Linked DNA regions of Rattus norvegicus. The protein of the gene in region 1 purifies or fractionates together with the protein of each later gene. This does not show direct contact. Links are inferred from orthologs where the notes say so. Each region holds a gene or a part of one and is shown in the gene's direction. Other genes may lie near its edges.

The links.
Region 2: the proteins of Lin28a (region 1) and Upf1 purify together in Homo sapiens (affinity purification with mass spectrometry; 3 studies listed by BioGRID and IntAct, with this or other methods). This does not show direct contact. The link is inferred for Rattus norvegicus from reciprocal best matches to the Homo sapiens genes LIN28A and UPF1.
Region 3: the proteins of Lin28a (region 1) and Ddx28 purify together in Homo sapiens (co-immunoprecipitation; 3 studies listed by BioGRID and IntAct, with this or other methods). This does not show direct contact. The link is inferred for Rattus norvegicus from reciprocal best matches to the Homo sapiens genes LIN28A and DDX28.
Region 4: the proteins of Lin28a (region 1) and Rrp12 purify together in Homo sapiens (affinity purification with mass spectrometry; 3 studies listed by BioGRID and IntAct, with this or other methods). This does not show direct contact. The link is inferred for Rattus norvegicus from reciprocal best matches to the Homo sapiens genes LIN28A and RRP12.
Region 5: the proteins of Lin28a (region 1) and Dhx57 purify together in Homo sapiens (affinity purification with mass spectrometry; 3 studies listed by BioGRID and IntAct, with this or other methods). This does not show direct contact. The link is inferred for Rattus norvegicus from reciprocal best matches to the Homo sapiens genes LIN28A and DHX57.
Region 6: the proteins of Lin28a (region 1) and Ythdc2 purify together in Homo sapiens (co-immunoprecipitation; 3 studies listed by BioGRID and IntAct, with this or other methods). This does not show direct contact. The link is inferred for Rattus norvegicus from reciprocal best matches to the Homo sapiens genes LIN28A and YTHDC2.
Region 7: the proteins of Lin28a (region 1) and Dhx36 purify together in Homo sapiens (affinity purification with mass spectrometry; 3 studies listed by BioGRID and IntAct, with this or other methods). This does not show direct contact. The link is inferred for Rattus norvegicus from reciprocal best matches to the Homo sapiens genes LIN28A and DHX36.

The regions. Positions count from the first base shown.
Region 1 is NC_086023.1:151,514,385-151,517,884, reverse strand, and holds part of Lin28a (protein lin-28 homolog A), read left to right. Parts: intron 1-1,824; coding exon 1,825-2,009; intron 2,010-3,500. UniProt on the Homo sapiens protein: RNA-binding protein that inhibits processing of pre-let-7 miRNAs and regulates translation of mRNAs that control developmental timing, pluripotency and metabolism.
Region 2 is NC_086034.1:19,109,306-19,113,337, forward strand, and holds the start of Upf1 (UPF1, RNA helicase and ATPase), read left to right. Parts: upstream 1-1,232; 5' UTR 1,233-1,512; coding exon 1,513-1,728; intron 1,729-4,032. UniProt on the Homo sapiens protein: RNA-dependent helicase required for nonsense-mediated decay (NMD) of aberrant mRNAs containing premature stop codons and modulates the expression level of normal mRNAs.
Region 3 is NC_086037.1:50,819,143-50,822,741, reverse strand, and holds Ddx28 (probable ATP-dependent RNA helicase DDX28), read left to right. Parts: upstream 1-1,168; 5' UTR 1,169-1,178; coding exon 1,179-2,801; 3' UTR 2,802-3,099; downstream 3,100-3,599. UniProt on the Homo sapiens protein: Plays an essential role in facilitating the proper assembly of the mitochondrial large ribosomal subunit and its helicase activity is essential for this function. May be involved in RNA processing or transport. Has RNA and Mg(2+)-dependent ATPase activity.
Region 4 is NC_086019.1:250,652,519-250,656,540, reverse strand, and holds the start of Rrp12 (RRP12-like protein), read left to right. Parts: upstream 1-1,222; 5' UTR 1,223-1,313; coding exon 1,314-1,452; intron 1,453-2,012; coding exon 2,013-2,242; intron 2,243-4,022.
Region 5 is NC_086024.1:20,509,299-20,512,798, forward strand, and holds part of Dhx57 (putative ATP-dependent RNA helicase DHX57), read left to right. Parts: intron 1-1,035; coding exon 1,036-1,132; intron 1,133-2,225; coding exon 2,226-2,399; intron 2,400-3,450; coding exon 3,451-3,500. UniProt on the Homo sapiens protein: Probable ATP-binding RNA helicase.
Region 6 is NC_086036.1:37,515,862-37,520,085, forward strand, and holds the start of Ythdc2 (probable ATP-dependent RNA helicase YTHDC2), read left to right. Parts: upstream 1-1,424; 5' UTR 1,425-1,603; coding exon 1,604-1,802; intron 1,803-3,065; coding exon 3,066-3,156; intron 3,157-4,224. UniProt on the Homo sapiens protein: 3'-5' RNA helicase that plays a key role in the male and female germline by promoting transition from mitotic to meiotic divisions in stem cells.
Region 7 is NC_086020.1:149,041,392-149,045,674, reverse strand, and holds the start of Dhx36 (ATP-dependent DNA/RNA helicase DHX36), read left to right. Parts: upstream 1-1,483; 5' UTR 1,484-1,559; coding exon 1,560-1,778; intron 1,779-4,283.

The DNA.
Region 1 (3,500 bases):
AAACTCAAAACCTACAGGGCAGTGGTGTCAAAACCTTTAATCCCAGCACTTGGGAGGCAGAGCCAGGTGGGTCTCTGTTTGAGAGTTTAGGTCAGCGTGGTCTGCAGAGTGAGGACAGCTAAGATTACAGAGAAACCCTGTCTCTAAAAACAAGCAAAAAAAGAGGGCACAAATCCAAACCCATACTTCATTAATTCATCCCAAAAATGTGCCAAAAAAGAGGTACCAAAGTGTGGCATAAAAAATAAATTTGTTGGGGTTGGGGATTTGGCTCAGTGGCAGAGCGCTTGCCTAGGAAGCGCAAGGCCCTGGGTTCAGTCCCCAGCTTCGAAAAAAAGAACCAATAAATAAATAAATAAATAAATTTGTTGATTTTTTTTTTCATGCTTTTTAAATTTGGGGGGAGGGGCACATGCCGCAGTGTGCATGTGGAAATCAGAGGACAGCTAGGGGGAGTCTGTCCTTCCCTCATGTGCATCCCAGAAGCTAAACTTGAGTTTTCAGCCTTGGCAGCAACTGAGTACCCACTGCGCCATCCTGCCAGCCCTTTAATATAACTTTTAAAGTAGATCTGCCATTCTAAGTGTTCTGGCCTTGAGGCTACTATGTAGCCCAGGCTGGCCTGCAGCCCCAGCTGGTGCTTTCTGTCCAGGCTCCCTGAATGCTGGGATTGCAGGGTGGGCAGAGGCTTATTTGTGCACTTTTCCTCCAAGTGGGCAGTAGCTCTTTGTAGGTTTGTCTGTCTGACATTTTTTTCTTTCTTTCTTTTTTTTTTTTTTTGGTTCTTATATTCAGAGCTGGGGACCGAACCCAGGGCCTTGTGCTTCCTAGGCAAGCGCTCTACCACTGAGCTAAATCCCCAACCCCCCCCCCCTTTTTTTTTCTTTTAAGAATTGTCTATTGGGGCTGGAGAGATGGTTCAGTGGTTACGAACACTAACTGCTCTTCCTAGAGGTCCTGAGTTCAAGTCCCAGGAACCACATGGTGGCTCACAACCATCTGTATTGAGATCTGATGCCCTCAATATACAGTGTACTCACATAAAATAAATCTTTTAAAAAATTACTTATTTTATGCATATGAGTACACTGTATAACTGTCTTCAGATACACCAGAGGATTCCTGGAATCTCTTCCATTTTAATCCTTATCATGAAACTGACTTCAATTTTCAGAAACACTGTCTTTATGATTTCAAACTTAAAAGATTATAGGAATAGACAAAATTTCTCAGTTCTTCCCCAGATTTTGCCCTGGTTATTGTATTTTTTTTATTTCTGTTCGGTTTTATTTGTTTTTTGGAGTGGCTGGTTCAGGAGGGTTCTCACTATGTTGGCCTGAAATGCATCTGTGTGTGTGTGTGTGTGTGTGTGTGTGTGTGTGTGTGTGTGTGTGTGTGTAAATGTCAGACTGGCCTCACTCTAAGAGATCCATCTGCCTTTGTCTCCCAAGTACTGGGATGAAAGGGTTGTACCACCAAACATGGCCAGTTTTATCATCTTAGTGACTGTAAATACAGCGTTCAGTATGTTTCTAAATCTTTTCATGTGTATTTCCTAAGAAGGGACGGTTCACTTATGGTGGAGAGGGGTTCTGTTTTGTCGTTTGAGATAGGTCTCCTCGTGTGGTCCACTCTGGCCTCACTCTGGGGTGACAGGCGTGTGCTGCCACACTGGGCTCGGATGGCGTTGGGGTCTCTCATCTGTGAGATAGGAGTTCTGTCACTTTTCTTCCTGTCTCACAGGGACACGTCATAGGTTTGCAGTTCTGTTTTTTGGCTCAGTAATGAAGGCAAATAGTAAAATCTCGCCTTTCCATCTGGTAGAGCAAGCTGCACATGGAAGGTTTCCGAAGCCTCAAGGAGGGTGAGGCAGTGGAGTTCACCTTTAAGAAGTCTGCCAAGGGTCTAGAGTCCATCCGCGTCACTGGCCCTGGTGGCGTGTTCTGTATTGGGAGTGAGCGACGGCCAAAGGGGAAGAGCATGCAGAAACGAAGATCCAAAGGAGACAGGTACGGCCAGGAGGGGAGCGCCACTCGACTGCCACTGAGATCCCATTGCCAAAGGTAACGTAAGCTGTGAGACTAACCATTGTGAAGTGTGGCACTGGTCACAAGGACATTAGAAGCAAAGGTTATGGGGTTGGGGATTTAGCTCAGTGGTAGAGCACTTGCCTAGCAATCGCAAGGCCCTGGGTTCGGTCCCCAGCTCCGAAAAATAGAAAAGAAAAAAAAAAAAGAAGCAAAGGTTATAATGCAGATCTGTGTGTGATGAGGTGAGATGGTATGTTGGGGATCCACAGGACTGGAGCTTCAATTGGCTACCCTCTGCAGTTTGCTATGAGGCTTAGAACCTCTTAGCCTCTGAAGAGATAATATAATTTGGCTTTAAAATTTTTTTCTTAGCCTGACATGGTCACACATGCCTTTAATCCCAGCACTCAGGAGGCAGAGGCAGGATTCTTTTTTTTTTTTTTTTTTTTTTAAAGATTTATTTATTTATTATGAGTACACTGTAGCTGTCTTCAGACACACCAGAAGAGGGCATCAGATCTAATTACAGATGGTTGTGAGCCACCATGTGGTTGCTGGGAATTGAACTCAGGACCTCTGGAAGAGCAGTCAGTGCTCTTAACCGCTGAGCCATCTCTCCAGCCCCCAGAGGCAGGATTCTTGAGTTTGAGGTCTACAGAGGGAGTAACAAGACAGCCAAGGCTATCCAGAGAAACCCTGTGTCAAAAAAACAAAAAGGCAAAACAAAACAAAAAGATCATTCTTTAGCCAGGTTAGGTGGTACAAGCTTATGATGCTAGGACTCAGGAGACAGGCAAACGATGAACCTCCGCCAGTTCAAGGTCAGGCAGGAGCAAAGAGTGAAACCTTGACTTAAAAATGAATGAATAGGGGTTGGGGATTTAGCTCAGCGGTAGAGCGCTTGAAGGCCCTGGGTTCAATCCCCAGCTCCGAAAAAAAGAAGAAAAAAAATGAATGAATAAACAGGTAAACAGGGCTGAAGGGATGGCTCAGGAGTTAAGAGCACTTCCCTCACAGAAGACTGAGGCAGTCTCATCTCGCCCGCCCGCAAGCTGTACTTCACAGCTGTGATCTATTTGTGTTCCCTTCAGCTTTTCAAGTTGTTAACTGGAGGATCATCTACAATGTTGCAGGATATTTGGATCACATTGGGAACCCTGAGGTTGTGAACTGGAGAAAGCTGTTTCTTGTGTTGAGGTTCAGCCCTAGCAAGCGCCTTTAACTAACCCCAAGAGCTTCCTGTTTACTATGTAAACAAGAGCTAAACAGTGAGGATGGGCCTTAAAGCCAAGCTAGGAACCTGTGGACTGTGGACAGGGAGTGAGCTTAAGAGAAGGGACAGGGAGGTAGAGAGGGAGAGGGAGGGGGGAGGGGAAGAGGAGGGAGGGAGGGAGGGAGGGAGTGTGTGGAGATGGCTCAGCAATTAAGAGCACTGACTGCTCTTCCAGAGGTCCTGAGTTCAAATCCCAG
Region 2 (4,032 bases), on another chromosome or scaffold:
CATCTTTTTTGTGTTTTGAGATTATGTAATGCTGGGTGTCCTGGACATCGCTCTGTAGACAAGACTGGCTTCAGAGTTAGCAATCCCCCTGCCTCCGACTCCTGAGTGCTTGAATTTTAAGGCACGTGCCACCACATCCAGCCCTGTACTGACTGGGAGAGCCACCTCAGCAGAGGCAGCCACCCTCCTGGGTTTTCCCCTCCCAATAAATCTCCTATGAGGTTTGTTGTGTGCTGTGACTTTGTTGTATTCCTTGGCTCCCAATTGCCAGGATACCTTTTGGAACACAGTGAAACACTTTCTCTGGGGAAACCTCCCCTGCCCAAGCAGAGCGGATCCACTTCTGTGGGGGAAGGCCTTTCCCTTCAGAGCTGCGACACTTACACATCCTCCACTGAGAGTGGGAAGGTAGCACAGGGAGGAAGGAGTGTGTTCCTCTGAGTCTCGATTCTGGCTGTGGATGCTCATCAGTTGGTGGCCTTTGCCTAGCATACAAAAGCTCTGGGTTCTGTGGACAATATCGAATGTACAGTCATCGCACCACCAGGGGCTTTGAGGCAGGAAGATTCCCCAGAGTTCCAAACCAGCCTGGGTTACTATATGAGGCCCTCTTTCAAAACAGGCTAGAGAGATGGCTCAGAGGCAAAGAATTGGCTCCCAGCACTTACAAGAGGGGCTAACAATCATCTGTAACTAGTTCTAGAGGATCTGACCCCTTCTCAGCGATTCCCAGGCTAGCCCGGACCAGTGGGACTTGATCTCAAGATAAAAGAAAGAAGCAGTTATCTTCACAGGCTTCAGGAGTGCCAGGGGTAGCAGTGACTACCATTTGGCAGAATCCCTGCTCTCTACTCATTCAATCGATGAATAGTAAAGATGGCCACGAGTCAAGTGGCAGACGGGGTAACTAGAGCTCAAGGAAGGCAGATGCGCGGTCCCTGTGCCACAGTTTCTACACCCAAGACCTTCTGGAAAGAGCCTCAGTTAGCACCTAATGAACATGCAGCCCAGAAGCCTGGCGGTGAGGATGTCGCAACCCCGCATGCGCATCACTAGGCAGCGGTTGGGGCGGAGCCAAGTTCGCGAGCCCAGGTCCTTTAGGCAGTTGAAGGCCCGCCTCTTCGCGCAGGCGCACGACGAATTCCGCCCTCCCGCTCTGCTCCTAGTGCCCCGGTGCGGTTGGCTACTTTCCGGGAGGGACGCGCGCGCCTGCGCCGGCGTCGGGCTCGCGCACGCGCACCGCAGCGGTGGCGGCGGCGGCGGTTCCTGTCCAGGGGGCTGAGAGCGGCGGTCGGCTTTGAGGCGAGCAGCGTTGCGGAGGGGCGCGGCAGCGGCGGCGGCAACTCAGAGCTCGGAGCCGGAGTCCGGGCTCTGCTTCCAGAGGCCGGCTCGGAGCCCGCCCGGTCCTCAGGGCGGCGGCAGCGGCTGCTCCGGGTTACGGCCTAGGCCTAGGCGAAGCCTCGGGCTCGAGTGCGGTGAGGCGCCGGCGGAAGGCGCGGCCCGGGCGGCAAGATGAGCGTGGAGGCGTACGGCCCCAGCTCTCAGACACTCACCTTCTTGGACACTGAGGAGGCCGAGCTGCTCGGTGCCGACACCCAGGGCTCCGAGTTCGAGTTCACCGACTTCACCCTACCCAGCCAGACGCAGACGCCCCCCGGCGGCCCCGGCGGCGCGGGAGGCCCAGGCGGAGCGGGTGCAGGCGGCGCGGCCGGCCAGCTCGACGCGCAAGTGAGTTGAGCGGCGCATGGCGGCGCCGGAAACCGGGCGGGAGCGGGAGCTGCGGCGCCAGGTCTCAGTTAACCAGCCCTGGGCCCCTGTGAACCTGCGCCAGGTCCGAGTTTGTGCTGGTCCGAGCTACCGGCCCCAGGTCCAGTTAATAAGCCTGGGTGTATGCTTCCTACTCTGGCTCCTTAAACAAAATCCCTATTGACCATCTCTAGTTACCCACCCTAGATTCCTGTTTAACTGCCCAGGTACCTGCCACCTGCCTTGGGTCCTTGTTACCTGTCCTAGATCTCTGCTACCCTACCCTGGTTCCCGTTTACTTACCCCTTTCCCAGATCTCTGCTTCCACCTTCAGCTACCTTTTCCAATACCTCTCCCAGGTCTACCTGCCACAGTCATTGCCATCTGCCTCAGGTCCCTACTACATACCATCTCCTCTAATTCCCTGCCTCTTGTCCTAGCCACCTGCACCTAGTCTCTGCTACCTGTCCTGTTTTCCTCCACCCAGCTAGACTGGGCAGTGACCTGCATTAGTGTCCCTCCTCCTGTATAGCACAGAATCTGCTCCAGCTCAAGGCTTATGCCAGAACTGCCCTCACTCCCCTTCTAGGTGGGTCTAAGGTGACCTACACTAGGTTTCTCTGGCCCTAGTGCTATCCTCTGGACCCACACTGTCCTCCAGGGTCACCTATTTGGCTAGTCCAACCATCCCATCTCACCCTCTTGCCACTTCCATCCACCACGCCTCCAGCCAGGGTTCAAGTTTGGTGGAGGGGCTCTCTGGAGCAAATCTAGGGTTTTGGCGCCTCGGGTGGAAACAGCCCACTTTGTGGCTGGTTAAGGTGGCTGAGAGACAGCTGCTGGTTCGTTTTTTCCTTCTGGGTTGCCTGTTGCTGAGACCAGTGTTATGTAACTCCTAGGCTCTGCTTGGAAAAGTTGGGTTTGAGTTTTGTTCCTTAGAGGCAACCACAATGGGTATCACACGGGTGACTGTGCCCTGGGGAGGGGCTTTTGTTTTGAATGACAGACTGTCGGTGTAGGCTAGGGACAGGCCATCCCTACCTCCCTGTCAAATGGCTGGCTTGGTGTTGGGCACCTCTAGGCTTTGTTTTCCTGTATTCTCCGGGGAGCTGCCGACTAGAGCCACAGGTGTTCTTACAGTCCATGTGTGTGCTTAGGGCTAGGGAGCCACCACCAGTCTCCAGCAGTGATCTCAGACCGAGTTCCGGGAGGGCCTTCGAGCTGGCTGGTTGAGTCATATTTGTGGGTAGACCACCCACTTGGGCTCATTTTCAGCCCTAATAGGAGAAGAAGGCTGAGTCAGCCCCTACTGCGGTGCAGGATCAGGTGTGCCTGCGTGTTGTTTCTAGCTATTTACCTTTAGCGTAAGGAGGTGGAGAGAGGGCAGGTTGCCTGGAGGAGTGAAGTGGCCCAGAAGGCCAGTCCTCCTGTTAGTTTCCCCACTAGGTAGACCTACTTACCTACCTTCCTTCCTTCCTTCCTTCCTTCCTTCCTTCCTTCCTTCCTTCCTTCCTTCCAGCCTTATGGGCCTGGAGAGGGGCACTGTGCAGCAGGCTGTGATGGCACAGCTGGGGAGACCAGGAGTGGAAGTGGGGTGCTTCATCTCAAGGTCTTTTAGCTCTAGCTAATGTACAAAGCAGACTTGTGCTATGCGTGTGCTCACATGGGTGTGCCCTGCTCCGCCAGTTGAAACCATAGATTGAGCCATGAGCTGCCGCCCACCTGTGGCCTCTCATCATAAGGGAGGGAGGGAGGGAGGGAGGGAGGAGGGAAGAGATGGAGGAAGGGAGGAAGGGAGAATGGGAAGGAGGGAGGGAGGGCCTTCAATCCTGTATTAGGAAGACCTGTATCTGTGGGCAGAAAGTGAGCAAAATTGGAAAGTGGAAAAAATCCTTTGCACACCCAGTGTCCTCAGCCACCAAAAACATTGCTTTTCGTTATTTATCCTTGGAGGTGAATGGGTCACACAGGGGATCCTAGGAGGATAGACCCCCTACTCAGTAGGTTGAGCTGCCCCTGTGGGCTGCTGGCAGTTCTCTTCTGGCTTTATTGAAGCAGAATCATGGAACCTGCATATATCCCTGGAAAGCTGACAGGACAGTGGCCTTTTGGGCCACCATCATTAATACCAAGTAATGTCTCAGCATCCTGAGTCCCTGTACCCCCAGCCTCTCTCTTCAGCCACCAAGAATCCTGTGGCCTCTGTGGATGTGAATGTCTCAGGCCCTTCCTTTGCTGGATAGATGGCATAGTATACTTGTCCTGTGTCTCTCATGTTTGTGGTTC
Region 3 (3,599 bases), on another chromosome or scaffold:
ATGTAAATACTTGGTATACTGTATTGTTAGGGAGTAAGTTCAAAGAAAAATGCATATACATATTTAGTACAGACACAATTTTTCATGAATATTTTCATTTTACAGTGGAAAAATCCACAGATGTCCACCTAGTGAATGAAATTAAAACACTTTCTCCAGATGTTAGGAACCTCCTAAGTATTCAGTCCACAAACATTGACCTTATCTCCCACTCCAGACACTTGACATCTGACGCCCATATTTTTTTCAGATGTGTTCAAGAAGTATGAAGTAAAATAAATAAATAAATAAAAATTTAATAACCTGAACCACTATTCAAGTCAAGTAGTCTGCTTGATCAGCACTATGTGAAATAAGCTTTCATCACTTCATAAGGGTAACGGGACCCTTTCTTCTTTCTACTTCTAGTCAGGCAATTTAGAATCTGCCTGAGAAGCCAGTGGGATATGAGCAGACTCTAAGAGTGGTTGAGTCCAGTCTGAGAATCATGAAGGGGTGACAAGGAATGGAGAATGAAAAATCATGAAGGGGTGACAAGGAATGGAGAGTGAAACTTGCCTGGAAAAGAAGTGTAAAAAATGAGAAACTACACCTGAAAGAACTGAGACCATCTCTCTCCCTTCATAGACGAAATATGTTGAAGACCACCAGCATGCACTCTGGGTTCTAGAGAACAGGGCTGAGCCTGGACCCAGACTTCCAACTTTTGCTTCAGTCCCCAGGCCTATCATTCATTCAGACTCTCGGGAAACTTGCATCACCGAGGTTTTGAGCGATGCGCATATCTACATCGTCGTACTTTGTACCCTTGAAGTTCTATGGAATAACAGGTCGGGGCAATGACGACCACAGGTAAGATATCAGAAATTAAGCACTCAGTTGACAGAGGCCATCCTCACTCGATTCCTTGAGCCAGGGACCCATGTCCCCCTCCTATTGCGGACTCCCACTCCTTCTTCCACCGAGTACCCGTCCCCAAAGATGACCCCAGTCTGGACATCGCCCTGCCGGATGGAAACCTACAGACCTCACAGCCACTGAACTCTTAAGGATCCTCCCTCCTTCCAGACGGTACTGCAGAGCCACACGTGACACTGATCTGCGCCAGCCACCGTATTTCAGACTACAGTCGCGTACGTGACGTCACTACCATGCGCCTCTTCTGCATCAAGAGAAATATGGCTTTAGCCGGGCCAACGCGGCTATTATCATTAGCAGTCCGGTTGCTTCTGGAACCTCGACGGAACATAGTGTTGCGCGGTTCCGACCAGTCCTTGCCTGTTGTGCGCATTCCGCGGGCTCTGCAGCGACGGCAGGAACAGCGACGGAGCGACCGTGGGAGTTTCCAACGGCCGGTGCTAGTGCAACCTGGTCCACTCCTGGTCTCGGCAAAGCGGCCAGAGTTGAACCAGCCCGCACGCCTCACGCTGGGCCGTTGGGAGCGGGCACCACTGGCTTCGCGTGGCTGGAAGCATCGGCGATCGCGTCAGGACCATTTTTCCATAGAGCGAGTGCAGCAAGAGGCGCCCGCCATGAGGAACCTCTCGTCCCGGGGCAACTTCGTGGACCTGGGTCTAGAACCCCGAGTACTGCTCGCGCTTCAGAAGGCTGTCCCCGAAATTGTTCAGCCAACCTCCGTGCAGTCGAAAACCATTCCCCCACTGCTTCGCGGCCGCCACATCCTTTGCGCTGCTGAAACCGGTAGCGGCAAGACGCTTAGCTATCTACTGCCCCTATTTCAACGGCTCCTAAAAGGGCCAGAGCTGGACTCCCGCAGTTCCACCGCTCCTCGAGGCTTGGTTCTGGTACCTTCCCGAGAATTAGCCGAACAGGTGCAGGCAGTGGCCCAGTCATTGGGTAGGTACTTGGACCTGCAGGTTATAGAACTTGGCGGAGGCCTGGGAATGAATAGGCTCAAACTTCAGCTGGGTAAATGGCCGTCAGCAGATGTGCTAGTGGCTACTCCAGGGGCGCTGTGGAAGGCTCTGAAAAGTCAACTGATCAGCTTACATCATCTTAACTTCATAGTGCTGGATGAAGTAGACACGCTGCTAGATGAAAGCTTCGTGGAACTGGTGGACTACATCTTGGGAAAGAGCCCTATAGCAGAAAGTCCAGCTGAGTTAGAAGACCCCTTTAATCCCAAAGCTCAGTTAGTGATGGTGGGAGCCACATTTCCAGAAGGCCTAAACCAATTGCTGAGTAAAGTCACCAGCCCAGACAGTCTGACCACCATCACCAGCTCCAAGCTCCACTGCATCATGCCTCATGTCAGACAGACATTTATGAGACTAAAGGGAACAGAGAAGGTGACAGAACTGATTCAGATCCTCAAACAGCATGACAAAGCAAATAAGGCAGAACCCTCGGGAACTGTCCTGGTATTCTGCAACAGCGCCAGCACCGTGAACTGGCTTGGGTACATTCTGGATGACCACAAAATCCAACATTTAAGGCTGCAAGGGCAAATGCCAGCCTCAATGAGGGCAGGTATCTTCCAGAGTTTCCAGAAGGGCTCCCAAAACATACTTGTCTGCACAGACATTGCCTCACGAGGCCTAGACAGCATCCACGTGGAAATGGTTGTCAATTATGATTTTCCCCCTACTCTGCAGGATTACATCCACAGAGCAGGAAGGGTGGGTCGAGTGGGCAGTGAAGTGCCGGGGACTGTTACCAGTTTTGTGACCCATCCCTGGGATGTGAGCCTGGTTCAGAAAATTGAACTGGCAGCTCGTAGAAGGAGAAGCCTTCCAGGACTAACATCTTCAGTGAGGGACCCATTGCCTCAACAAGACTGACTTTTTTGGCTGACTTAAACCTACAATAGAGCAGGGATCTTCTTGGAGGTCCAGGAAAGTTGAACACTTGTCTTTTGATGACATTGGGTCATACCAGCCCCTCGCCTCTCTGCAGTATAATGAATTGTTTCGAGATCTGAAAAATAAACTACTAGACAGGAATGGAGAGTAACATTCAAACAATAAAGTGGGGGGTTGGGGATTTAGCTCAGTGGTAGAGCGCTTGCCTAGCAAGTGCAAGGCCCTGGGTTCAGTCCCCAGCTCCGAAAAAATAAAAAATAAAGTGGATGTTGACTTTACATAATGTCATGGTTTCTTTTTCTTCTAATTGTATGTGTGTGTGTGGAGGTCAGAGGACAATTCTGTGTAGTCAGTATTCTCTTTCCACCTTTTTGTGTTCCAGGGATCTAACTGAGATCATCCTGCTTGTTTGACAAGTGCCTTTACCCACTGAGCTATCTCAATGGACCACACATCATGAGTTCTAAAAAACTATTTGTATGTGTGTTTTGAAACAAGTTGGCACTGTATATCACACAATGGACTTGGTCCCTAGTAATCTTCCATTCTTTTTTTTTTTTTAAAGACAGGGTCCCTTTCCTGGTGGTGGCACATGCCTTAATCCAGTACTCAGGAGGCAAAACACAGGTGGATCTCTGAGTTCACTTAGCTAACAGTGGTTTTGTGGGGACAGCCTTAATAGTAACCACCATTTGAAGAGAATTCAGTAGATTTTAATGATTTATACTCTACCACATGGGATTTGTTGGCTTGGGTTGTGTTGCTTTGATTTTTTTT
Region 4 (4,022 bases), on another chromosome or scaffold:
TTCTGTCCCCAGCTCCGAAAAAAAGAAAAAAGAAAAAAAAAAAAAAGAGCACTGACTGCTCTTCCAGAGGTCCTGAGTTCAAATCCCAGCAACCACATAGTGTCTGTCAACCATCTGTATGGGGATCCGATGCCCTCTTCTGGTGTGTCTGAAAAGAGTAACAGTGTACTTACCTACATAAAATAAACAAATCTTTTTTTTTTTTTTTTAAAGATACTGCTCTTGGAGAAGACCTGAAATCGGTTTCTGGCAGCGCACCAGACAGCTCGTAACTGCCTGTAGCTCCAGCCCCAGGGTATCTGATGCTTCTGGCCTCCACGGGCACCGGAAATCATACCATCTCACAGGTGTACACATAATTTAAGAAATAAATCTTTAAGAAAATAGTACTAGCCGTTTTCCAAAGTGCCCATGTAAACCTTTCACTCCAACAGCAGCACATGGAGACAGTAGGGACAGTAGGGCTGTGTCCTTGCCAGCTGCTCCTTCAGTTGTGTCTTTTGGACGGATATTCCTTGTGGTTTCAGTTTGCAAAGCAAGAGTAGGGCACTACTTGTTGCTTTTTTCTCTAGAGAGGTGAGGCCAAGATGTTTTCATTTTTATACCTCCATAGTTTTTGACTTTTGGGTTTGGGTTTTTTTCCATTAACTTTATTATGTTTTTTGTTTGTTTGTTCGTTCTGTTTTTTTTTTTTTTTTTTTTTTTGAGACAGGTTCTCATTGTGTAGTCCTGAATGTCTTGGAGTTCACTATATCAATATATAGACTAGGCTTGCGTTGAAATCACAGAGATCAACCTACCTCTGTTGCCTAGGTGCTGGGATTACACATGTATTTATTTTGTTATTTTTGTGTTTAGACAGGCTCTTGCATTTCGCAGCGTAGAGAGTAGGCTGGCTTTAAACTCATGACAATCCTCAAGTTTGCTGGGATTACAGGCGTGCCGACACCACGCTCCGCTTGAACAACCGATTTTTTGAGAGTAATATAAATTTGTCTTTTTAATTCCAAAGAAATTCCCGTTGTATAAGGCTTTCTCCACGACCATAAACCTTGACGGTGCAGCAGGAGCCCAAAGCAACCGAAACGCCAGCACTCTTTTCTGTGTAAGAACTCAGAGCAATCAGGGAGCTTCAGACCGGATGTTGATTGTTTTTGCCGTGGTAACAAGCTGGAGACAGGAAGTGACATCAGAGGAAGAGGACGCGGAGCCGGCTGAGAATACACACGTGGGTTCTGCTGTGAGTTCTGCTGTCTCTTCGGCGTGGTTGTTCGCGTGTTCTCTGAGCAAGTCCGAGCCACCGTTTGGTCAACATGGGTCGCTCGGGGAAATTGCCATCTGGTGTCTCGGCCAAGCTGAAGCGCTGGAAGAAAGGCCACAGCAGCGACAGCAACCCCACCACTTGCCGCCATCGCCAGGCCGCTCGCAGCCGCTTCTTCAGCCGCCCATCAGGTAGCCCGGCCGTGGGATTCCTTGTCTCGTGGCATTCGGCCTGCCACATTAGAATGTCAGCCTTGGGGCTCACATCGAAGACCCGCCCCTCGAGTTTGACAGATGCGGAAACTGTCCTCTAAAGGGAAGTGACTTGTCTAGGATACCGCGGCCTCAGGGTTGAGATACATAATTGTCACTACCCTTGGGTGGCTCTTTAGATTTATGTATGTGTTGAGGGAGTGTAAGGGAGAGAACCCACGACCTTGTGCACTCTAACTAAACACTCAACTACTAACCCACATCTTCAGCCTTAGGATGTCTCTGTACAGTATGCGACCCCGGCTCTGGATGTCTCAGTGCCTGAAGTGGAGGGAAGCAGAAACAGATCTTGGGGGTTCCTTTCTCTTGGCTTCAAAAGTTGCAAGAGTGCACAAGGCTGTGCAGGCAAGCCGGGTTGGGAATCCAGCCGCTGGGACTGGGGTCTAAGCCCTCTGGTTTGTTTCTTAGGGGTTCGGTTCCTTCAATCAGAGGAAGCTTGGGTGGAAATGGGGACATTACCTTGTTAATCTGGTTCTCAGGGAAGAGCGACCTGACAGTTGATGCCGTGAAGTTGCATAATGAGCTGCAGTCTGGGACCTTGAGCCTGGGCAAAAGCCAAGCCCCTGAGACGACCATGGACCAAGACCCGGAGGTGGCTTTCACTGAGAAGTCCTCGGGCACATTTCTGAGTGGCTTGTCTGACTGTACAAACGTCACCTTCAGCAAAGTGCAGCGCTTTTGGGAATCCAACTCAGCTGCTCACAAGGAGGTAGGAGATTGGTTACCGGCTTTGTGGGGCAGTAGGCGGGGCACATTCAGGACTTCTTACTTACAGCTCTGGTGACAGCAGCTGGTATTTCTGGACGATGGGTCATCTCTCGTACCCTTTGTGCCTTTTTTATAGACTCTTCTTGGGCAGAGTCCCCCTAAAAACATGTGTGGTAATGTTCGTATGTCTTTGAAAAAAAATTTTTTTGAGACAAGGTTTCCATATGTAGACCAGGCTGACTTCAAGTTCACAGAGGTCAATCTGCCATTGCCTTTCAAGTGCTGTGGTTAAAGGTTTGTGTCATGCTCAACAAAGCATATTTATTTATTTATTTATTTATTTTTAAATTATTTATTTACTATATATGAGTACACTGTAGCTGTCTTCAGACACACCAAAAGAGGGCATCAGGTCCCATTACAGATGGTTGTGAGCCACCATGTGGTTGCTGGGATTTGAAATCAGGACCTCTGGGAGAACAGTCACTGCTCCCAACCACTGAGCCATCTCTCCAGCCCTATTTATTTTTTTTTTTTTAAAAGAAGACTTTTTATTTAATGTATATGGATAGCTGTCTTCAGGCACACCAGAAAAGGCTATCAGACTTTATTTCAGATGGTTGTGAGCCACCATGTGGTTGCTGGGAATTGAACTCAGGACCTCTGGAAGAGCAGTCAGTGCTCCTAACCACTGAGCCATCTCTCCAGCCCCAGTATATTTATTTTTATTGTGTGCCAAGGCATGTATGAAGGTCAGAGGATGTTAGGGAGACCTTTCTCTTCCTTCCACTATGTAGGGCTCAGGGTAAAAAACTTCACTGCTGAGTAAAAATCCTTGAGGGTAGAAATGTTTTCACTGCTTATCTCCTCAACTGTACTTTTTTTTTTTTTTTTCTTTTCTTTTTTTTTTTTCAGAGCTGGGGACCGAACCCAGGGCCTTGTGCTTGCTAGGCAAGCGCTCTACCACTGAGCTAAATCCCCAACCCTCAACTGTACTTCACACAGCAATTCTTACATGTTATATCCAGGGACACCACTGTTCACGTTCATGGTGACTAACCGTGGTTAGGATTCGTTTTGTTTAGCAAGAAATGTTTTACTTAATTGACGTTTCATAGTTAATATGCTTATACTTTTCATTGTCTAAATGAGGAATAGCAAAATGCTAAATGATACAGAGATATAAAGAGACCAAAATATTATAATTATTCTCCCAATTCGATAACTCCAGTGGGTGTTGTTAATGGGTGAGTATGTGTATTTCTAGACTAGCACTGCCCAGTTTGTGATGTAAAGTGAGCCACAGGTATAGTTTTACATTTTTAGGAGCTGCATTTAAAAAGTAAAAAAGAAATAGGTGAAATTAATGTATTTGACCAGTATGTATAAAATATTAGTATTTCAACAAATTTGGTCAATTTTTATGTTACACTCTGTTTTTCATTTATTTCATTTCGGTTTATGTGTGCATGTGAGCCCTATCTCCTGGAGTTGGAGTTGGTTGTGAGCTACTCAGTGTGGGTGCTGGGATCCAAACTCCCGTCCCGTGCAACAGCAGCAAGAATTCCTAACCACTGAGCCATGTAGATGTGCAGCCCCATCAGTCAGGATTTGTTGTGGTTGTTTTCTTTTTAAACTAGGGTCTCACTCTGTACCCCTGAAACTTGATGTATAGACCAGGCTAGCCTTGAACTTGAGATCTATACGGCTCTGTCACCCAAGTGCTGAGATTAAAGGTGTGTCACTGCCTGATGACAAGGTCTTTTAGTGTAGCTCAGGTT
Region 5 (3,500 bases), on another chromosome or scaffold:
GCCAAATAAGGTAATGTGTGTGAGGAAAAAAATCTCTGTGCTCTTTGGCCCTCCTCTATTTTTGTGATGATTTGGACTCCTTCCTAGTTTCATGGGGAGAGAAAGCCATGACTGTAGGTACTGAGTTCCGGAGATGTGTTTAATATCCATGCTGCACGGCTGGCATGGGCATCTGCTTACCTGTGTGAGGCTGAGGGACACATTAGTGAGGAGGTGACCTGCCTCTTCCATGAATGAAGCACAAGAGAAAGCTGGGTGTGGAGGCTCAAGTAGCCCCAGTACTTGGGCCACTGAGGCAGGAGACTCAATACCTGAGCTCAAGACTGAGTCTCAAGACCACCTGAACTACCAGGTGAGATGCGGTCTCAGCCACAGAAGTACCTGGGAAGGGACTGCTGCCAGGACAGAAACACGCTACGACCTCCTGTTGTTGCTGATTGTCTTTAGTGGACATGCTAAAGGCCATCAGTGGTTAGTAAGACGTGACTAGTTAATTTACTAGCTCTTTCAAATGTGTCTAAACTTAACCGATCAGACTTCTTTGTTTGTTTGTTTGTTTGTTTGTATCGTATCCAGTAAAATGTCTGGATCTCATTAACAAAGGAATCTTCTGGTCTACAAGGTTACTTTTCTACAGTAGAAACAGGTATCAGTGGTCAGGATACTAAGAATACTGGAGAGCTTAGGTGGGTCTGATGTGTGCAAGGCATTTGCTTCAGTTCTCAGATGTTTCTGTACACACACACACACACACACACACACACACACACACAGAGTGTGCTCGGTGAGTGCTTCTTGTATAACTCAAAGCATGCTCTTCTATACCTCAGTTTTCTATTGGAAAAAGGTAATACTATTTTTTCCTTATTAAATCAGAGTATATACAAAAGTGTGATTTCATATTTGTTTAACTAATAAGGCTTTACAAAGAAAAACTGATAGTGTAAAGTTATCAGTTATTGGTTTTAAAACGGTCTTGTGATCTACATTAGTTTTCCTTGTTTGTTTATTTATTTATTAATTTTTTATTCCCAGGTGCTATACTTGTGTTTTTACCAGGGCTAGCGGAAATCAAGATGCTTTATGAACAGCTACAGTCTAACTCTCTCTTCAACAACAGACGAAGTCATCGGTAAGCCACTCGCTTTCTATCCATAGATATCACTGCAGCCACCTCCAAAGATGAAGAGCTGAAGGCTCCCTGTGGTCCTCACCCTCCTTAGACTGTCGTGTCACCTCTCAAACATTGTTTGTTTATGCCAGCTTGAAATGGGATGCCTTTGTGCTCCAGAAAATGTTACTCCATTCCGTCAAGGGCAGACTTTTCTCTTCACTTATCATAGTGACTCAGCAAATCTGCATGCAGTTTCAGTTGCCAGATTCCTGAGGAGGGCAGCAGGCTGGGGAAAGCCAGCATTAATAATAACAAAGAAATGCTGCCATTTTGAGAGAAAACAATTTTCCGCCAGTCACTGGGTATGCTGTCACATACAATGAATATCCTAGCTGCGTCACACTTTGCCCTCCCACCCCTACCCACCTGGACTTAAGGCAAAAGATTATTCTTTGCTGGTCAGTTTTTTTTAGGTGTGTTACTTATAAAGTATCAATCAATCTTGGTGGTTTACTCCTGAATAATCCCAGAACTTTTCCCAGGTTAGCACAAGGTTTGTGTTTCTGGAAGGTTGTATTTTGTGAGAACAGAAGGAGCCTCTCACCTCTAAGAGCTGGGCCTTGAGGGCAGTGCTTAAAAGTGTCAGACGCTGTCTTAGGGTTTCCATTGTTGAGAAGAGACACCATGACCAAGGCAACTTATGAGGGACAACATTTTACTGGGGCTGGCTCACAGGTTCAGAGACTCAGCCCATTATCAGCATGGCAGGAAGCATGGCGGTGTACAGACAAAGTTGGTGCTGGGGAAGGAGCTGAGTGAGGGTTCTACATTGTCATCCAAAGGCAGCAGGAGGAGAGGGGCCTCCCCCACATTGGCAGTCTTAAGTATACAAAGGAGACTCAAAGCCCGGCTTCCACAGTGACAGACTTCTTCTAAAAAGGCTACACTTCCTCCAATAAGGGCACGCCTCCTAATAGTGCCACTTCCCAGGGGCCAAGCATAGCTAAACCGCCATAACTCTTGGTCATTCAGTTAACTTCAGTAGACATTTACCTGCAGGTCAGTTTCAGTGCTTGGTGCAGACTCCTTACTGTGCTTCACTTCCTTTTAGGTGTGTCATTCACCCACTGCACTCGTCGTTATCCAGTGAAGAGCAGCAGGCGGTGTTTGTGAAACCCCCACTAGGTGTGACTAAGATTATAATTTCCACCAACATTGCTGAGACTTCCATAACCATTGATGACGTCGTGTATGTCATCGATTCTGGGAAGATGAAAGAAAAGAGGTATTCTTTTGTGGTGAAGTGACAGAGGGACTAACCTCCTGTAGGATAGCACAGCTGTTAATGGTTCCTGCCAAGGTACTCTTTAAAGGAACATTGTATATGGTTCCATGGCCAGCGTGAGGAATGTGCAAGTCAAACAAGCATGCAGAATCACCAATAATGGATTCATTTTCCCATGTGATTTTTCTTGTGCTTCGATGAGAAGAAAATGGCTAAAGAAAATGTGTGTGGTGTCTGATGGACCTAAATCATCACGGCACTAGTTACCCCACAGTCCTACAATAAACCAGACTGTAGATCCTGAGTAGGGTGGCTGTCTTACATAAGGAAGACCACTTGTCCGTGCCCAATAGTCTTGACATTCTTTTTTTTTTTTTTTTTTTTTTTTTTTATAAATTTATTTATTATATATACTATAGCTGTCTTCAGATACACCAGAAGAGGGCATCAGATCTCCTTACAGATGGTTGTGAGCCACCATGTGGTTGCTGGGAATTGAACTCATGACCTCTGGAAGAGCAGTCGGGTGCTCTTAACCGCTGAGCCATCTCTCCAGCCCTAGTCTTGACATTCTTAAAAGTAACTCAGTAAAGTATTTGCAGGAACTGTGTTCAATCCCCAGAACCCATACTTAAGAAAGGAAGGAAGAGCTGGGCAGTGGTGGCACACACCTTTGATCCCAGCACTTGGGAGGCAGAGGCAAGTGGATCTCTGTAAGTTCGAGGCCACCCTGGTCTATAAAGCAAGTTCCAGGACAGCCAAGGCTACACACAGAAACCATGTCTCAATAAAAGGGAAAGAAAGAGGGAGGGAGTGAGGTCGAGAGGAGGGAAGGAAGGAGAAAAGAAAAGAAAAAGCTAGATGGGGGGCATGCACCTGTGCCATCGGCTCTGGGGAAGGAGAGACAGGAAAATCAGCCAGCCTAGCCAACTGGGCAAGCTCAGGCCAGTAAGAGAGAGACTGTGTCTGAAGAACTACAGCCTGGGTCTTCTCGGGCTTACACACACATGCGCACAGAATAACTCCCTCTATATTTCCTCTTCCTCTCTAGATACGATGCCGGCAAAGGGATGGAAAGTCTAGAGGACACTTTTGTGTCTC
Region 6 (4,224 bases), on another chromosome or scaffold:
TACTCTGTATAGCCATGGCTGTCCTGGGACTTGCTCTGTAGACCAGGCTACATGAGAGAAAATTACTCGTGTGAAGGAATGAGGACAATTCAAGATAACATTCATTTTCTTAGTAGTTTATAACTTTTGCAAGAGAAAATAAGATACTTTCAAATGTTGCAAATGATAACACAAGATTTGAAAGCATGCCTGTGTAAGGGCCACAATTATGTTTTAAACTATGGTACAGAGGAATTCTCAGAGGAAGACTGCCTTCTCCAAGACAAAAACCATGCAAGACAAAAACCAAACAACAAAATTAAGTGTATCTGAGCAGTGTGAGGGTAAGTGTTAGCATCACCGTGAGTGTAGGTATCCTAGAAGATCTTGAGTGCTCTTGATATTGAGAAATTTATGGTTTGTTCTAGTTGCAGAGGAGAGAAACTGGAAGGCTGCATATGAGGGCATCTTAGTACACTCTGGTTCTCATTTTGAAAAAAGGAAACAATCATGTCTGTTGCTCTTCGGAGAGTGACAATAGTGGCACTACAGTGGAAGCAATTCAGGTCATTGGAATTAGATTTATGTTCATAGGACTCTATTTGAACCAATGGCAATTCTCATAATCTTCCCAACTCCTTTTTTGTTTGTTTTTTGAGACAGGGTTTCTCTTATAGCCTTGGCTATTCTAGAACTCACTCTGTAGACAGGGCTGGCATCAAACTTAAGAGATTCACCTACCTCTGCCTCCCAAGTTCTGGGATTAAAGGCATTTGCCACCTTCTGTCCCCAACCCCCCCCCCTCCTCCCGCAACTCTTGATAAGTTCCTCCTTAAACTTAATCTTGCCACAAAACATAACTATTCTCATTGCTATGCGTTCCACACTCACGATGGGCTGTTACCTAAAACAGTGAACACTTTAATAACTATCATATAAGCATTTTTCTTTTAACGTTTAAGGACTGTTACCACTTTTTAGGGTTTCGAGGTAAAACACAGTTAGATCTTTATTTCAGGTAACCAAGTTTTCAATGTGTTTCAGAATGAAAGACATACATTAAGAAGTTAGTCGTTACTTAAAATCAAACCAAGTGGTCTACTCACTGTACTTATTTGACCCACTGGACCACGAACCTCAGAATTGCGGTAAAACCCTTGTTTCCAGAGTGTTCGAGTTTGTGAATCAAGCGCTGGGCAGAAGCCCGCTCTGAAGAAAGGAATGAAGCATTAAATGATCCAGTGGATAACCGAATAATATGTCCTCCAATTTAATGATATTTTTTGACAACCAAAGCCTCAGGGTCGTGAGGACCGCATTACAGCCTCCAGGGACCGCATCCCCCGGGGCTGCTCCAGCATAGTCAGAGGTCCCGCGTTCTGGGGCCGTGCGCGGCGCTCACTCTTGACGTCATCACCCGCGCACCCAAGGCTTCTCTGGGCTGTAGTGGTGCCAGCGCTTTCGCTTTCACCGCTACTGTGAGTGACGCTTTCCCGCTAGTCTCTCCCGGCGTTGACTTTCTAGCGGTAGGTCCGCCGCGCTCCCACGGGCTCTCTGTCTCTGTCACTGCTCGCTGGCAGCAGGCCTGGCCGCTCCCACGCGGAGCGAGCTTCTCCTCAGGGCCATGTCCAGGCCGAGCAGCGTCTCGCCGCGTCCGCCAGCTCCTAGCGGAGGCGGCACCGGAGGCGGTGGCGGCGGCCCGGCTTCGTGTGGTCCTGGAAGCGGTGGCCGGGCCAAAGGCCTCAAAGACATTCGTATCGACGAGGAGGTGAAGATCGCTGTCAACATTGCTCTGGAGCGCTTCCGATACGGTGACCAGAGAGGTGAGGATTCTGACGGGGGACCTTGCGGGCTGACACCCGCCCCCAGGCCCGCCCCTGATGGGCAGAGGAACCCAGAGCCGGGCCGCAGAGGCGAAACCAGCGCCGTCTAGTGACTGTTGGTCACCGAGTGGGAAGCCCAGTGGGTCGGTGAGTTTAGGGAGGATAGAGAATCAGAAGTTAAGGCATCAGAAGGTGGAAAGGCTAGGTTACTCCCAGGTGGGAAAATGTCCTCAGGTACTTTTCTGCAACCCAAGGCTGCTAAGTCAACGTTATTTTTTTTAAGGAGTTATTAAGCCCCCACTGTCTTCCTCATTATTGAGGTGTAGCCTTATTTTAAGCTTAAAAAACTTCAGAGGAGGCTTTGAATTTATTGTATTTATAGACTTTATTGAAATTCTAGATGCATCAAATCAAACACAAACTTGTGTGTTTTGTACTTTATCAGGTCAGATACCTATTTAGTACAGGCCTCATAATATACAACTGAGTTTACTGTTGAATGCTCATTTTAATTTGCTGGGATAGCTAGTAGACCCTTGCTGCTGAGGCTTATTGTCTGAAAAGGTTTTGAACATATATTTTTAACAGCAGCAAAGCCTTGGCAAAATGTCACAACAAATCCAGTCTGAAATATTGAGGAAGAGCCCTCTACAGTTTTGAGAACAGAAACATGGGAGTTTCAGTTTGAGAATTCTTAATGCTTGAATGAACATACCTCATTATTGAAGGAAATAGAATTTTGTTAAGCAAGGCAAGAATAATTTAAATTGATAAAATATGTCCATAGTTATATCGATCTCAACACAGGTAGTAATCTTTGATGAACTTTCAAGTCCTTTATCATATTTAGGTTGTATGTGTAACTTCATAATATCAGAATTCTGGGCTGAAGAGATGGCTCAGTAGTTCCTCTTGCAGAAGTCCCAGGTTTGATTCTCAGCACCCGATGATGGCTCAAAACCATCAAGTCAGCTTCAGGGGATCTGATGCTTCTTCTGACCTGTGGTCAGTGCACATATATGGTTCTCTCTCTCTCTCTCTCTCTCTCTCTCTCTCTCACACACACACACACACACACACACTCTCTCTCTCTCTCACAATTAAGTAAATAAATATTAATAGTTAGTATCAGAATCCTATTAGGTGTGAGTTACTGAGTAAATACATTTTTCATATAAAATGTGTAATTTGATTTATACTTATATGTATTTTTCATTTTTATACCTGTAATTGTCTATAAGTGGAACCTTTTTTCCTATGTAGAAATGGAATTTCCTTCTTCTCTGACCAGTACGGAAAGAGCTTTTATTCACCGACTAAGTCAATCTCTTGGTTTAGTTTCTAAAAGTAAAGGGTAAGTGTACAACTTTTCTTACTTTGTTCAAAAATATTTACTACAGAAAAGTATGCATGTGTCTGACTACATTTAAATCATTGTTTCTGTTTTAACTTTACATTCTTATAAATAGTATGTATAGATAAACTCGTTTAGGTCTATACCAAGATCAGCTTTTCTTCTTCCAATCCACCTTACCTCCCAGGTGCAGAACATACATAAGTTAGCTCCTGGGATGCAGCTCATCTTGTAAAGCATCTGTTGTATAAGCCAAACAACCTGAGTTCCATCCACAGAACCTGCCCTGAGCAAAGAGAGACAAGTAAAGCTCACCGTGGTTAAAACAATGGTAACTACGTACTCCTATGGTGAAATGGGAGCAGGAGACTGCAGAATGGGCCAGAAGTTTACACAGAGGTAGAAATAAGAGAGACCGAGCCTTAAGTAGGGGAAAGGAGAGAATGGACTACTAGTAGTTGTTCAATGACCTTCCTGTGGATCCCCGAATTTATACATGTTCAGAAGTATAAATATTTTTAAAAGGTGAATATAGTTTCATTTTTCATGTTAGGTTCTTGGTCTGTAAATGACAGATACTTTTCAGTGGAAATGTAAACTTGAACCTGCTTATTTATAGACACAGATGTAGTCTGTTAGAGAAGTTTTAGTTTGATTTATCAGTTTGGTTTTGGGCTTCAGGAAAGACCACTATTTATTCAGTTTTGTAATCATAGCCTCTACCATAGTGTCTGGTGAAAGTTCATGAATTATGAGTATTTTCAGAAAAAAAAAATTAGGCAAAGGTAAAACATAACAAAGCTTCACAAGATATCTTTGGAGAAATTAAAGCATCTTGGTATCACGGACATGTTAAGAGATATTAACCAGGATACAGTGTTATAGAATTAAAATGATATACTTTTGATTATATAGTTAATTAAAAAGACCACCAACCTCAAACTTCTTTTGTCATGCTTATTTCATTCCAACATTATTTCTATCCTGTGTGGTTAAAATTTTATGAAGTGAACAGCACAGGGAAATGAATAGTTGCCCCTTTATGCACCGAAATTTCAGACAATGAGG
Region 7 (4,283 bases), on another chromosome or scaffold:
CCTTCATTGAGTCTTGAGAGTCTCTCATCTCCTGGATCTCTGGTACTTTCTATAGGGTCCCCCCAACTCCCACCCCTGAGGCTGAATATTTCCATTCATTCTCCTGGTCCTCTGGGCTCCTCTCCTGTCCCTCCCACTCCCTGATACCTGATCCTGTTCCCCCTTACCCCCCTCCTCTCTCCCAGGTGTCTCTCTCCCTTTGCCTCCCAAGATTTTCTTCTCCCTCCCAAGTGGGATTGAAGCATACTCACTTGAGCTTTTCTGCTTGTTAAACTTAAGTTCTGTGGGTTGTATCCTAGGTATTCTATACTTTTTGGCTAATATCCATTTAGTGAGTACATACCATGCATGTCCATTTGGGTCTGGGTTATTTCGATGCTCAGGATGATATTTTCTAGTTCCATCCATTTGCATGCAAAATTCATGATGTCTTCATTTTTAATAGCTGAATAGTATTCCATTGAGTAAATGAACAACATTTTCTGTATTCATTCTTCAGTTGAGGGACATCTGGGCTGTTTCCAGCTTCTGACAATTACAAATAAGGCTGGTATGAACATAATGGAGCATGTGTCCTTGTGGTATCTGCATCTTTTGGGTATATGCCCAAGAGTGGTATAGCTGGGTCTTCAGGTAGAACCATTTCCAATTTTCTGAGAAACCTCCAGATTAGACACAGATAACCTATGCTGGCCTCAAATTCATTATACAGCTAAGGATGACATTCTGTTTCCTCTGCTTCCATCTGCTGTTTGCTGAGATTACAGGCCTGCAGAACAATACCATTTATACTGTTTGGGATTGAAATCATGCCATGCAAGTACTCTTATCAACTGAGCTGACACCCAAGTTCCCATAATAAATAAATAAATAGATGATAGATAGATAAATTTTAAGATTTTTTTTATGTATATGAGTGCACTGTAGCAGTCTTCACAAACACCAAAGGAAGGTATGGGATTTGATTACGGATGGTTGTGAGTCACTATGTGGTTGCTAGGAATTGCACTCAGGACCCCTAGGAAGAGCAGTCAGTGCTCTTAACAGCTGAGCCATCTCTCCAGTCCCAGTATTAAAGCCTCTTTAAAGAAGACATTTCGGTGTATATACTGATTTGAGTGAAAGAGGTGCCAGGCGGTTTCTAAGAAATACGAACTTCTTTGGTCTTTGAGGAGAGTACACAATGGTCGATTCTTTTGTTTGCTATGTTCTTACTATCCATGACCTTGCAAACAAATTCTAGGTTTTAACAAAGTAGTTAAAATTCACTCAAATTTCCACATTTTCTCAAGCTGGGTGAAAACCCATGCCGTCCCAAAGACCGGATCCCACAGGGGACCTAAGCTTCCGACCAGAACGCGGACAAAAAACTTCACCGCAGGTCACACTTTCTGGCGCCGTTCGTGACGTCACCGGAAATGTCTGCTTGTGACACTCAACGGCCCGCCCTCTCGCGCTGGGCGCCGGAAGCAAAGCTGAGGGTAATGTGCGCCCGCTTCCGGTCCTGGGCGCCATTTTCAGCGGTTGAGTTTTGGTGGTACCTGTAGTCGTCTCGGACAATGAGCTACGACTATCATCAGAGCTGGAGCCGCGACGGGGGCCCACGGGGCTCCGGCCAGGGCTCTGGCGGCGGCGGTGGAGGGAGCCGGGGCTCCGGCGGCGGCGGAGGGGGCCGCGGCGGCCGGGGCCGGCATCCGGCCCACCTTAAGGGTCGCGAGATAGGCCTATGGTACGCAAAAAAGCAAACGCAGAAGAACAAGGAGGCTGAGAGACAAGAGGTATGAAGGTCAAGTAGGGACGCGTTTGCTCGGTGCTCTCGCCGACTCTTAACTCTTCCCTGGCGTTTGCTGGAGCTAGATGTAACGTCTGCCGAGCCCCTGTAACGGGGTGTCCGGTCGCCGGATGGTTCAAGCCATCACTGCTGCAGCCGATGCATGCTCTGTTTAAGGACGTGAGAACTGAACTGGGGGTGAATGCTAAATTCAGATTCCAGCCGAAGTTGACTTTATTAGGGGATATCATTCATTTAGAATACTTACTGTCATTTTTAAGTTCATTCCCTGGAGCAGCCAACAAAAGCAGTAAAACACTGTGGATCTTTGAGGAAAAAAGTAGTTTAGCTACTAGTATAAGCATTTAAAGTGAGTCACATGCTCGTCTTTTCTTCTCCCTTTCTGCTCTGAATTTTCTGTTGACTAAAAGTTCTTTAAGACTTAACGTCCTTGAAAGGAAGACCCTGTAGAGAAGTATTTGGCTAATCTCATCAAGGGATTGTCAGTTTGGTTTGTATCTTGAAGTAGTATAGGAAGCATCGTGTTTTGTTGTTGTCTGTTTTGTTTTCCTCGAGACAGGATTTCTCTATGTAGCCTTGGTGTGCTGAACTTGCTCTGTAAACCAGGTTGGCCTTTAACAACAGATCTGCCCACTTATGCCACCCCAGTGCTGCATAATTAAAGGTGTGCATCACCAAGCCAGCAAGCATAATGTTTATTGAGTGGTCTGTTCTAAATAAATACACATTAACAGAATCTTTAAAGTTTTTTTGAGTCTAGTTCATACATGGTTTTTGAATGGAAAAGACCTTTGCATTCTAATAGGGGGAAAGAAATATCTAAACAAGTAAGTTAAATAAGTAGACGGTATCTTTCCAGATATATGCAGGGCACACTTGTGTATTGGATATCGATGTTTAGTGCAGGCTGACTTTGTACTCCTAGTCCTCTTTCCATGCCAAGTGCTGGGATTTCATATATGCACACCTCGGAGGCAAGGCTTTTACTAGTTGACCTCTGAATCCGAACCCCACTCCCAAACTTGCGTTTTAGCAAATGTCAGTGTTGTTTATTCAGTTGCCATGTGGAAGTGAACATTGATTTTTCTCTTCCATTTTGGTAAATGTTTGCTCTGCTCTCTTATTTATCGCTGTAGCAATTATGGGTCAGACCTCTAAACTATATATATATACATATATATATGTATATATATATGTATGTATATATATATGTATATATATATGTATGTATATATATATATGTATATATATATATATATATGCATGCCCCATGGTGGTCTCTTAGAATTATAGACGCCAGCCTGGCCCCATGGTGGTCTCTTAAAAGGTGGCCTCTTTAAATGATCTAATTTAGATCATTTTAATCTTTAGTTCCCAACTTGCCTCTCTTTAGTGTTTTCTGGGAATCGTGTGATCTGGCTGTAACATAACAGGCTTCCCTCCTTGGGTTAATCTTTCTGAGCTCAAGCTCTGAGTCTGATATAATCATAGTTTGACTAACATTATTTCTGCTCCTTATTAAATTTTATACCATTTTTCTCCCTAAAATGAGTCTTTGAATTATCTTTAAGCATGTTTTTCAGTTGTCATAATTCTTTTCAGCACTTTTAGCTTAATATGAATTTATCCTAGAATTTCCATAGTTTTTACATTAAAATAAGCCTCATACTTGCAAAATGAAAGTACCCTAGTGGATCCTCATAGTTCTATCCATATATATGTATGACAAACTTAATTTTTGGGATACTACTGTAGTACCTAATTTATAAACTATTTTTTAAAGATTTATTCATTTATTATATATAAGTGAACTGTAGTTGTCTTCAGATACACAAGAAGAGGGCACTGGATCTCTTTACAGATGGTTGTGAGCCACCATGTGGTTGCTGGGAATTGAACTCATGACCTCTGGAAGAGCAGTCGGGTGCTCTTAACCGCTGAGCCATCTCTCCAGCCCGTACCTAATTTATAGAGATAATGTATGCTAAGGGCCATAGACAGAATGCTATGTTACTAAGTAGCGAATATAGACTGTCTGTTCAAATGGAAGCATCTTAAAAGCTAGAGAGCTTGACATTATTGGGCATATAAGTGAGGATTTCTGGATGGTTCTGATAACCTAGAGCAGAGGTTCTCAACCTTTCTAATGCTGTGACCTTTTAATATAGTTCTTCATGCTTTGCTGAAACACCTTAAATTTATTTTGATGCTGTTTTGTAAATATCTGTGTTTTCCATTCCATCTTATGTGACCCCCGTGAAAGGGTCATTTGACCCTAAGGAGTAAGGGCCTGTGGATGCTATTGAAATGAGGGTACATAATGAAAAGAATGGCCTACTTCTGAAAGCAACAGACCTTGTTTCTCAAACTTGAATGTGGATAGGATTCACCTGGCACCTTGTTTAAGTATATGACTGGGACAAGCCAGAGAGTCTACAGACTTCCAAATGATGCCAGTGCTCCTTGGTCTGTAGATCATTTGAGCTGTAAA